Danio rerio: one gene and its partners. The protein of the gene in region 1 interacts with the protein of each later gene in a biochemical or structural test. Links are inferred from orthologs where the notes say so. Each region holds a gene or a part of one and is shown on either strand. Other genes may lie near its edges.

Region 1 (3,662 bases):
AATTTCTGGTTTTGAATTTTAGGATATTGAATTTGATGTTTAGAATTGCTTGAAAATGTGAAACTGTATTTTTACAAACTGGATATCTGCAGTCTATGAATTCAGAACAAAAAAAATTTGATGTTTGAAAATATGTCTATGAAAATTCAGCCTTGAAAAATTCAGTCATCTTAAATTTCAGATGTTCAATATTCAAGTTATGAAATTCAAATTCAAATCAAGAAATTTAAATTCAAAACCATTTTAACGGCATAAGAATGCAGATTTAAAAAATTACAAACATCAATAATTCAACTGAACACATTTCAGATTGTTTTGGCATATTACTAGCTCCATACATTTCCCGCTATAAGAAGTTTTCTTAATTGTGTCACACCACAAAAGACCCCAAAAGCTGCATCACATGATTTCTTGACCACATATCAACACACGGTTTGTTTTTCAGTTTTGAATTTATTTAAGAATAACTTGAAACAATCAAATGTTGTCATTCTCAATATCAAGTTCTGTTTCCCCCTTTTATGTTAGCGCCATCAGCAGTGGATCAAACCACAGTCACATTTAATCTGCAAGAGGGAATAAGGAAAAACAAAATAAACAAAAAAAAAAAAAAAAAAGTGAACAGGGCATCACTAATCTGGATTACCAGCTACGCCTGAACAAAATCGGAGCGGCGATTCTCAGCATAACTGTTTGGCACGACAAGATAGTGGTACGACTTGTGCCAATTTCCCCTCATTTTCATCCAAATGTATCGGGCCAGATACTGTGCAGAGCAAAGAAAAAAAAAAGCGCAACTAAAACGCTTTCTTCATGGGGCACCGTCAATTAGCATTCATGGACTAAAAGTCTGCCATCTTGAATTAAAACAAGACAGATAACAAAACAAACAAACACTAGTAGGAAGCTTCTGACAGAGTTTTATAGGAAGTTGAGATCTCTCCTTTATAACACTACTCGTTTTCGGCAGGAGTGCACCACTGTGATCTTTAGCAAACCGGTCAGTTGTGTGTGAGGGAGAGAAAAAGTCGAATCTGAAGCGAAATGCAGAACACTGGCCATAAACGAGCAGCACGACGGCATTACAAACAATGCAGATTCTCAATAAATACAGATTCCTGGATGCCAAACTGAGACTGAGGCTGCTCTGTACCTTTCAAACATTGCCGCAAATGTGAACGAACTAGGGAAGACCAATGAAGCACGAGCCAAAACTAAAAAGAAAAGCCTAAGGGTTGACAAAAAAAAATCAAAAATAAAACAAAGACATTCTGAATAGAGTTAAGTGCACTTTCACAGTTCAACCGTAATACAACAAAGTTCCACCTCCTCCCTTTGATCTTGTTTTATTAAGTTTAGTTGGTGATCAGTCCTGCAGCCGTTGAAAACTTCCAACCGTCCCTCCTGTTTTTATGACTATGAAGCAACAAAAGTGTGGAATTCCTGGCAGACATGACAAGAGATTTCATCCCTTAAAATAAATAACGCTATATCTCAGTGCATACAAAAAAAAGGGAACCTGAACACTTACATAAGAGGGAGAGAGAGAGAGACAGAGAAAGAGAGAGAGCCATGAGTCCAGTGTGGTTTTATCTACTTTTTAGGCACAGGCACACGGTCACCAGAACTTCCCCATTTTGAACCCATTTCATGTTGCCTTACATTTAAACTTGATATTTACGATTAGTTGTGGATGTAGCTGATTCTCCTCTGAGGGCTAGAGTGAGTTCTTTAGCCTCAGAGCATGCCGAAGCCTTTGGCGTAAGTGATGGCTTTAAGGAGTCTCTCTTTAAGTTTCTCCACGGTGGAGTATTCGGGGAGGAGCAGCACGTTGAAGCAGGTATGAGAGGTGGGTAACCTGAAGAACACAGGCGGACCAGAACAAGGTGTTAATTCAACAGCTATTTCACCATTATTTTTAGTATTTAAGACAGAACAAATGTTACACAATATTTCTTAGGGGTAACATTTGAGATTAACTTGATGATGGTTAGTCACACACACAAAAAAACAGACAAAGCATACAAAATCTGTATATTATTCAACTTTTTTTTTTTTTTTTTAGGTTTATTTAAATCACAAGATTTGTAATTTTCTAAAATAGGCATAACTTACAAGAACACAGGTTACTGGTTACTGGTTTCCAGAAATGTTCATAATATTTTCTTTTGTTTTTATTTTTTTATTTTTGGGTGAACTAAGTGATTTTTTTCAACTAAAACATTAAGCTCTTGATGTTACAATTGTTTTTTAAAGCAACGTTTTGAAACTAGATTTTACATGAAATACAACAAAATACAATGAATAAAGCTGTGAGACATTAAGAAGAGGCTAAATATTTTAGTGACACTAAAATAACTTAATAATAATTATATGAAAAAATACATCCCACGTATAGTCAGAGCCAAAAGGTTATTGATTTAAAAAAATGATAGTAAATGTATAAACATGTGTTTTGGATATGGATTTAAAGATTTGCTTTCTGTAACTAAAAATGATGGGTTTTTATTTTCTAGAAATTTTAATTGATCCCATCATAGTCATTCTTCTCATTTATGTGCAATTTTAAAGATTCATCAAGCTAACAGGGCCCTACAATCAGCAGGCCAGTTGTTGCTGGAGGTCCCCAGATCCAGGTTGCAGTGGCATGTCCAAAACTGTGCAATACCCTCCCTATAAAACTTTGTATTATCATGAATGTTGCACTGTCAGTAGTGCAACATGCTGTGTTATTGACATTCTTGTTTTAATGCATAATTTTGTTTTAATGCTGTAAAGCACTTTGAGCAGCCCCCAGCTTGTATTATGGCCCATTTCCACTGAGTGGTACAGTATGGGTCACCGTTATCAGGCTTGCGTTTCCACTGCTAAAAGGGTATCAGTGGTACTCTTTTGGTGTGCATGGTGTACGACAGAAAGTTTCAGTCGATGTTATTCTCGCTCAAGAAAATGTCTACAGTAAAGCTGTACAGGCTGTTCACATATCATATGAGAAGCATTTCTCACAAAACAGACACTTTATACACATAAATACTTAAGTATAAGTGTTCATTACTAACCTTTCAATGAACATGATTTGATTATGACTGCAGATCAATGACAGTGTGAATTAACCTACTGTAACGTCTGCAATTATATAAGGTAAATAAATAAATAAATAAATAAATAAATGCAATATATATGAATACATGCAGCCCCTTACAGTCTCCGATAAGTTACCAGTTACAGAAAAACTACACGCAGCATATGTTTAGTCTTTATTTGGGTTAAAAAAAACAACTTGCAACATATAGCTCACAGTCAGTGCAAATCTCTCATCTGTATCTTTAATTTCACCAGCACATGTAACCTCTTGATAGAAAGTAATTCCGTCATTCTGGGTTCATAATAGTCTAGAAGTGAATATAATACTTAAACACAGCAGTTTGTTCATGTTTTAGGTTGCTGAAACAATCATTTACTCCTTTGTTTTTCCGGCTTCTCCCTTTGTTTTTTTGCGCAACAGCTCTGTAGCTGTTCAACAAGATGACGACAAGGTTTGTTTAAGCTCGGGTCAACCATAGCTTGTTGTTATATGTATATATTGTTACAGTGTAACATCTCAACTGTGTATTTAAAACATGGAGGTTATGGAGGGGAAAAGAAACACTGATCGCTAGTTT
Region 2 (3,662 bases), on another chromosome or scaffold:
TTAAGCATTTGTTTGTTTGTTTACTTGTTTATTTATTGTCACATCAGCAACTTATGACTATATCATTATTGCAATGTGTAAATTTGCCATAGTCACATCGCAGGACGTGCAATGTGGAGTCAGGATTATAGTTAAGGAGGTAGTTAAATAACAGTTGAGATAAGAAATATTGGAGTCATTTTGGTTGAACCATAATAAAGTGAATGTTCAACAATTGCTTGAGTTTTTAAGGCATGTTTAAACATTTTAAAGCACCGGGAATGATTATGTGTGTAGCTTTAACCCCTAAAGATCTAGAGGTATTTTGTGGGCACCTAATGGGCCTATATACATACATACATATATATACACACACACATATATATATATATATATATATATATATATATATATATATATATATATATATATATATATATATATATATATATATATATATATATATATATATATATACATACATATATATACATACATATATATACATACATATATATATATACATACATATATATACACACACACACACACATATATATATATATATATATATATATATATATATATATATATATATATATATATATATATATATTTATTTTATTTTATTTTTTAAGCAGTTTTATTTTTATTTTAGCAGTCAGCCTCAAGTGTCATATAATATTTTAAACAGGAAAACCTGAAGCTTTAATCTGTATTATTTAAAGGTCCAGTCTTTTTTTGGTCCAAAAACATATGAACAGACAGAAAATATTCCAGAATTTTAGGAAAACGTTTTTGTTTTTTTTAAAGTGGCATTTTCTAGTTATTACAAACAAAACCTTATGAAGTTTGTTTTTTTCTTTAGAAATACACGCTATGATGTTTTATACTTCCAAAATAAATTGTCTACATCCACCTTTCCCTGAGCAAGTTATAGCAATTTATTTCAATGTTATTCTAAGTCGTTTTTCAGTGAGAAAAAACTAGTGCATTTATTTACTGACAGTGTATCTGCCCAAAAGTTCTGGGAATGAACTTAACAGAAAGATTGTTACAAAATAACAGAACACTGAAGCAAGTTTGGCGTTTTCCAAACATATTTTTAGTTACCATAAACACCACTTACAATGAACAAATAAAAATAAGAAAATTATAAATAATGGTCAAAGTCCAAATAAACATGGTGCAAATCCTCAGTAAAAAAATACATATAATCATTTACTATACTATGAATAGTTACATAACTAAAATAGATTCAATATGGACCATCCGTAGGTTTTTTGAGCCAGCATATGGTGTTGACCCTGCTGCTTCTCAACTTTAGTGTTGCAGACAAACAGCCGCACCGCTATTTGCGTGCTTTGAAAACAGCAAGACCAGCACTTGGTCTTTGCTGTGTCACTGTTTTGTAATGTTTCTGTGCTGTTGTGCATGCAAAAGTACTCAGTATGAGGATTATTTCATGCAAAACTTTTTGCGTTTTATTTAGCCGTGCGTAAATGTACAGCCTATTTCTCATTCCGGGTTGTTCAAATAGTTGATTGGTTATCCACCAAAGCAAAACCTATGCTTATTGGTGGAGAGAGAGCGAGTTTAAACCAATCTGGGCATGGAGGAGGGACAATGCATCAATGCATCATGTCTGGTTTGTTCGGAGACACAAGCCACGAGCGTTCCTTTGTCAAATCAGCGTTGTCAAAATGTGATGACGTAACCACACTGAATCCAGAGCCTCTGAAGGTCCGTGAATGCAATGTGTTACAGCAATAGAGAGCTAAGATTCTCCTCTTTATGCCAATCTTTAAATTCGGATCAGATCAGCGGATCAAAAGATATTAAACATTTAAAAAACAATAGTGTTTTTTAGCCACGGGCGGCTGTTTCGGTCTTTAAGGATTAACAAAGATTAATTGTATTTAATTATTTATACAATGAAGAAGATACAGCTTTATTATACATTTGATTATTCTATTTCTGTACCTGTATGATGTTAGACTCCTTCATTTGTATATTCGATCTACATTATTTATATCTGCTTTTAATTTGTTTATTATAAGTTATGCAGATTAAAACATCTCAAGTTATTAAGTTATCTCAGGAAAGACTGCAAAATACAATGTACGTTTTTTACAATATCATGCAGCCCTACTTTTAAGGCAAGACTTAAGCATTTGTGAAATTTCTGCATATAATACTGAGCACTCACTCTTCGTCGTCTCTCCTCTGCGAGGACGGTCTGGCGTACTTTCTCCTCCTCTTGCCGTTTCTGCTCTTGTTCTTCTCTTTTCTTTCTGTCTTTCTCCTGATCTGCTCGCAGTGATGCCTCGTAAGCCTCGTCCTGCTGCTGTCGCAATACCTGCGTCTGATTCCTCTCTTCCCTGCAAATCACAAAAACACGATCAATTAAATAAAGAAGTATTTATTAAAGTAGTGGTTCTAAATTCCCGATTGCATAAAACAAAACAATGTTTGAATGCTTTAGCTTATTTTAATGTTCGTTTTAATTACTGCAGCATAATATCAAAATAAAAATGACTCCTCTTGCCATATGTATGAGCATAATTTGAACATTGTCGTTATTTTGAAATTAAACAGTATTTACACTGCAGCATGCATTGAAATTAAAAAGGATTAAAAATATTTTATTTTAAAATTAACATTTAAATTTCTATTATTTTGTGCAATTTTCGTTGTCATTAAATCATAAATATAAACCAGTGGTCACCAAACTTGTTCCTGGAGGGCCGATTTTAGCAACCCAACCCTAATCAAACACACCTGAAAAAGCTAATCAAGGCCTTACTAGGTATACCTGAAACATCCAGGCAGGTGTGTTGAGGCAAGTTGGAGCTAAACCCTTCAGGGACACCGGCCCTCCAGGACCGAGATTGGTGACTTCTGTTTTAAACCTTTAGTAACTGACTTCAAAATACTGGTAATGTGTCATATGATAACTCTGACAAAGAGATTTGGATTTTCTTTTCTTCTACTTATGATATTTATTCTTATATATGATATGATATTTACCGGCATATTTCATAGTGCTAATGGTTTCGAAAGAAATACTAAGGATGAAAGGAGGAAAGTTTTTGATAAAGTTTGTTAAACCAAAAAGAGAGGTCATGGAAAAAGTGGAGACCCGTGTGGAGAATGTTTTTTCAGCATTCATGGGTTTTACACTGATGTGTGTATATTGCATTATGAATTTAAAACAATTTAATAGTTACAAAACTAAAATGAAGCAACACAATTATTTCTTTGTTAACTGGAAAAGTATATTTGAACATATTGGTTTACAAAACACCAATGTCCTGCTTTTCTAGGCATTATTAGTGATAATGGTCAGGAACGTTGGACCATTATTGCCTTTTAAGCATATAACTTTTATGCTTTCCATAATATAACATAAAAATATACATACATACATACATACATACATACATACATACATACATACATACATACATACATACATACATACATACATACATTTATATATATTTGTAGAGTAACCCATGTTCTGTTGTCATTAATATTTTAATACTTAACTTTAATAGGTTAAACTGTCTGAGATATGAACAAAAGCAAGTGACGCATCAAAGTTTGATAAAAAAAAAAATAATAATTCTTGAATGGATAAAAAAAAATCTTTATAATCAATAAAATAATTTATAAAAGGG
Region 3 (3,662 bases), on another chromosome or scaffold:
TTATATTCAAAACTCCGTAAAAATTACAAACAATATCTGTTAATTAACAGCCTGACTGTTATTTTATGTATAATATAATTAATGACAAATTACAGCAATTTGACTGTTTTTATACAGTAAAATCGCAGTATTATTTACAGTGTTTTTTCCCGTTTTTTTTTTCATATAAAAGAATGTAAAATTAAAGTAATATATTGTAATTAGTTGCACTTTTAAAATGAAAATTGTAAAAAAAAAAAAAAAAAGATAAATAAAAAAAAGTCAAATGACTGGCAGCTATGGCTGCCAAACAAAATCCATAAAATTATGTTAAAATTTCTTTGTTGAAAAAAAGTACAAAAATAATAAATCAAGAATGAAATTGTAGACTTGTATAGGGCTAAACGCTAAGGATTTTTAAAAATGGCACAGATAAAATTTTTGTTTTTACTTGCCTGATCAAAATTCTAATTCTAATTAGTTATTTCTTAGCCACATATTTTAAAAAAATGTTTCAAAACAAGCAGACCCTAGTTGTAAACATACAAAAAAAAAAAAAAAACGCTTTGAAAAAAAAACCTTTAATAAACTAAATGTATGCACAACAAGCTGTTATAATATTAATTACAATAACCAGAGCAATTTCAGTAGGGCCCAGGCACCATAGGATATGTGTTGAATTGACTGGGTAGCTTTACACAAACAAAGTAAATTAAGACCCATTTAAAATGATTTAAGACCTACCAGACAATATTTAAGGGCCTGAGATTAGTTTTTGAAATTTAAGACATAACTTTATTGGACCCTGTGGACACCATGGAAACATGAGAGGAGCATAACATAAAACAACATATATAGGAAACATAAAAGTTTAATAACTGTTTAAAGATTACTGTGATATCAGACAATTTACTCAGTTTGCACTGTTACCTGCTACACACACACACACACACACACACACACACACACACACACACACACACACACACACACACACACACATATATATATATAATAGAAAAGCATGCATATTTAGATGCAAGACATTGTGTAAGTGTTGGTCCTTGATTTTGATTAGCTGAGCAGCACTCTAACAGCACAAAGAGGTGATTCAAACAGCACAAATTTTTGCATTTCATTTCACTGCATTGTTTTTATGTGAACATGCAATAGCAAATCCATCGATGAATTGCCGTTTTGACTTTTTTCTGTGTACATGCAATAGCAAATCATAGCATCATCCAGTCTTGTGTCTTGGCAGCATTTTGCAGTGTAATTAGACAGAGTTACAAAAACACAAAACTCAGGTTTAACTTTTGAAAAATGTCCTATGTTTAGGTATTTTGGTCATAGTCATGGAAAAATTTAGGTGATGTTTTCTTACATGGTTATACCAATATTGGCTGTTTATGGGGTTTGATTTATGTTTAATGTAAATATTTAGTTTTTTTTTTTTAAGCATACAAATAAAATACTTTTTAAAACAAAACCCCCACCACCAATGTAAAATTCATGATATCTACTTTTGATTTGTATTGTATGAGCAAGATGAAACGTGCAATCTATTGTTGTGAATAAACTGTCAAACCCAAAAAGTTAAGGTAACATTTGCAGAAGTTTGCGTAAACCGATTCCAACAAACAATTTAAGTTTCAAAGCTAATCCTTCCTCCATTTAAGTTAAAGAAATGAAGTATTTATTTAACTCATTACTTTCAACACTGAGTTCAAAACTCTTTTCAAATGCGTAGAATTACCTTTCAGTATGTTTTAAGTCAGCTACAGTCATTTCATTTGATAAAGTTGACTGTTGGGTTTTACAGTGTATTAACAAAGCTGTGATTTGTTTTTGTTTTTTATTTGCAGCCGCGTCACATCCCTGCTGATATTCAGAACAACAAGACTGCATGTAAAACAGGCTGGTCACCTTGAATGCTTCTCTTGAAGAAAGCTTTGCATCCCTCACACGACCAGACTCCGTAATGATATCCAGAGGCGTAGTCACTGCACACCGCACAGAAGCGAGTCTCTTTCCCTGAATCAAAGCCTCCAGCCGCTCTGGATCCAGTGTACAACTCCTGCCTGTCAGTGGCACTGCACAGCTCCTCACACAGGCCCACGGCTGCCTGCTGAGAGGACACCACACTGGACCTGCACAAAAACAGAGGTGAACAGTCAATACACTAGATGTTACACTTCATATAAATAATTATTAAAGCAATAGTATTTAAAGTCTATATGAACATGAGGAGGGTGGCGTTTTATTTTAGCACTCCTCCTAGTCATCTCTCACATCTCAAACTAGATTATAATTGTAAATCAGGTTATAAATAAGAGGAAATAAGCATGCGCAAAAAATAGTAACAGCGTTCGCATGGGTTTCCTCCGGGTGCTCTGGTTTCCCCCACAGTCCAAAGACATGCAGTACAGGTGAATTGGGTTGGCTACATTGTCCATAGTATATGAGTGTGTGTGGATGTTTCCCAAAGATGGGTTGCGGCTGGAAGGGTATCCGCTGCGTAAAAACATGCTGGACAAGTTGGCGGTTCATTCCGCTGTGGCAACCCCGGATTAATAAAGGGACTAAGCTGACAAGAAAATGAATGAATGAATAAAAAAAATTGTGAAAAGGGGTCATTTGATAATGTGTTATTTATTTTAATTAAGTTTAAATTTCATCACGAAAAGGGCCATAAACATAAAATGCTAATGTTAACTTGTAATCATTTTCATCCTTTTAAAAAGTAAATTCTAAAATAAAGATCACATTTAACAGGGTTAAACTAGATTTTGAATGTAAAAAATAGGAAATAAGCATGCACAAAATATAGTGAAAAGGGGTCATCTGATAACCATTATGGAAGCATACACCCTAGAGTATATGGACAATTCAGTTCTAGAAAATCAGAAGAGTTTTCAAAAGTAAAATTGGCAGCGTGCATTGAGAATATGTACGTGACTGCAAACAGGGGGCAAGTGTGACTATCTCCATTTCCTTTTGACCCTTTGTTCCAGTGTTTGTAAATATTTATTATGTCTTAATTCTGATGTCCAGCAGATTGATTGCATGATCTCAGAAATGTTCTAAAGTGTCACCAAATGACAAATGACGTTTCCAAGCAGTCTTGCCTTTAAAAAAGAAGACTAGTTTTATTCAGACAACATGCTTTGGTTATAATGCTGTCTTCAATATTTGCTGTCCCTTGATCTCACTCAGTTCGTCTGAACGTGAAAAATGTTCTCCGTTGTGTTCAGACAGAACTAATTGTACTTTTCTCAAGGTCTAAAGACAGAGTTTGATGAGAGGCTTTACGCTTCTTTCAAAGACTGGTGTACTTCAGTCCCCATGTTGCACTCAAGTGTTTACTGTCCTAACCTCTTTTCCGAGAAATCAAGATCTACTCTAATCAAGAGCACTAATATTTAACAGCACAAACATAAAGCATAAACTAACAACAAGTAAAATAAAGTGTAATGTTCTGCAGAACATCAAACACACATCCACATAGAGACGCATTTATATTTTTTGTTAGTTTATGTGCTAAGCATAAATAAGTACACCACATTTTGAAAATTAATATTTTCATCCATTTCTCAGTGGATATAATCAATGTATTTTGGTGCATTTGGAACAAAACAGATTTATTAAACAGATATATTTATTAAAATAATATTTAAATTATA

Evidence for each region.
Region 2: of the proteins of ube3a (region 1) and faf2, one has a biochemical effect on the other in vitro, tested with the Homo sapiens proteins (2 studies listed by BioGRID). The link is inferred for Danio rerio from reciprocal best matches to the Homo sapiens genes UBE3A and FAF2.
Region 3: the proteins of ube3a (region 1) and esr1 form a complex in vitro, tested with the Homo sapiens proteins (2 studies listed by BioGRID, with this or other methods). The link is inferred for Danio rerio from reciprocal best matches to the Homo sapiens genes UBE3A and ESR1.

What each region holds. Positions count from the first base shown.
Region 1 is NC_133181.1:41,335,970-41,339,631, reverse strand, and holds the end of ube3a (ubiquitin-protein ligase E3A), read right to left. Parts: intron 1,859-3,662; coding exon 1,738-1,858; 3' UTR 434-1,737; downstream 1-433. UniProt on the Homo sapiens protein: E3 ubiquitin-protein ligase which accepts ubiquitin from an E2 ubiquitin-conjugating enzyme in the form of a thioester and transfers it to its substrates.
Region 2 is NC_133189.1:56,134,218-56,137,879, forward strand, and holds part of faf2 (FAS-associated factor 2), read right to left. Parts: intron 2,361-3,662; coding exon 2,189-2,360; intron 1-2,188. UniProt on the Homo sapiens protein: Plays an important role in endoplasmic reticulum-associated degradation (ERAD) that mediates ubiquitin-dependent degradation of misfolded endoplasmic reticulum proteins.
Region 3 is NC_133195.1:29,090,284-29,093,945, forward strand, and holds part of esr1 (estrogen receptor), read right to left. Parts: intron 2,130-3,662; coding exon 1,906-2,129; intron 1-1,905.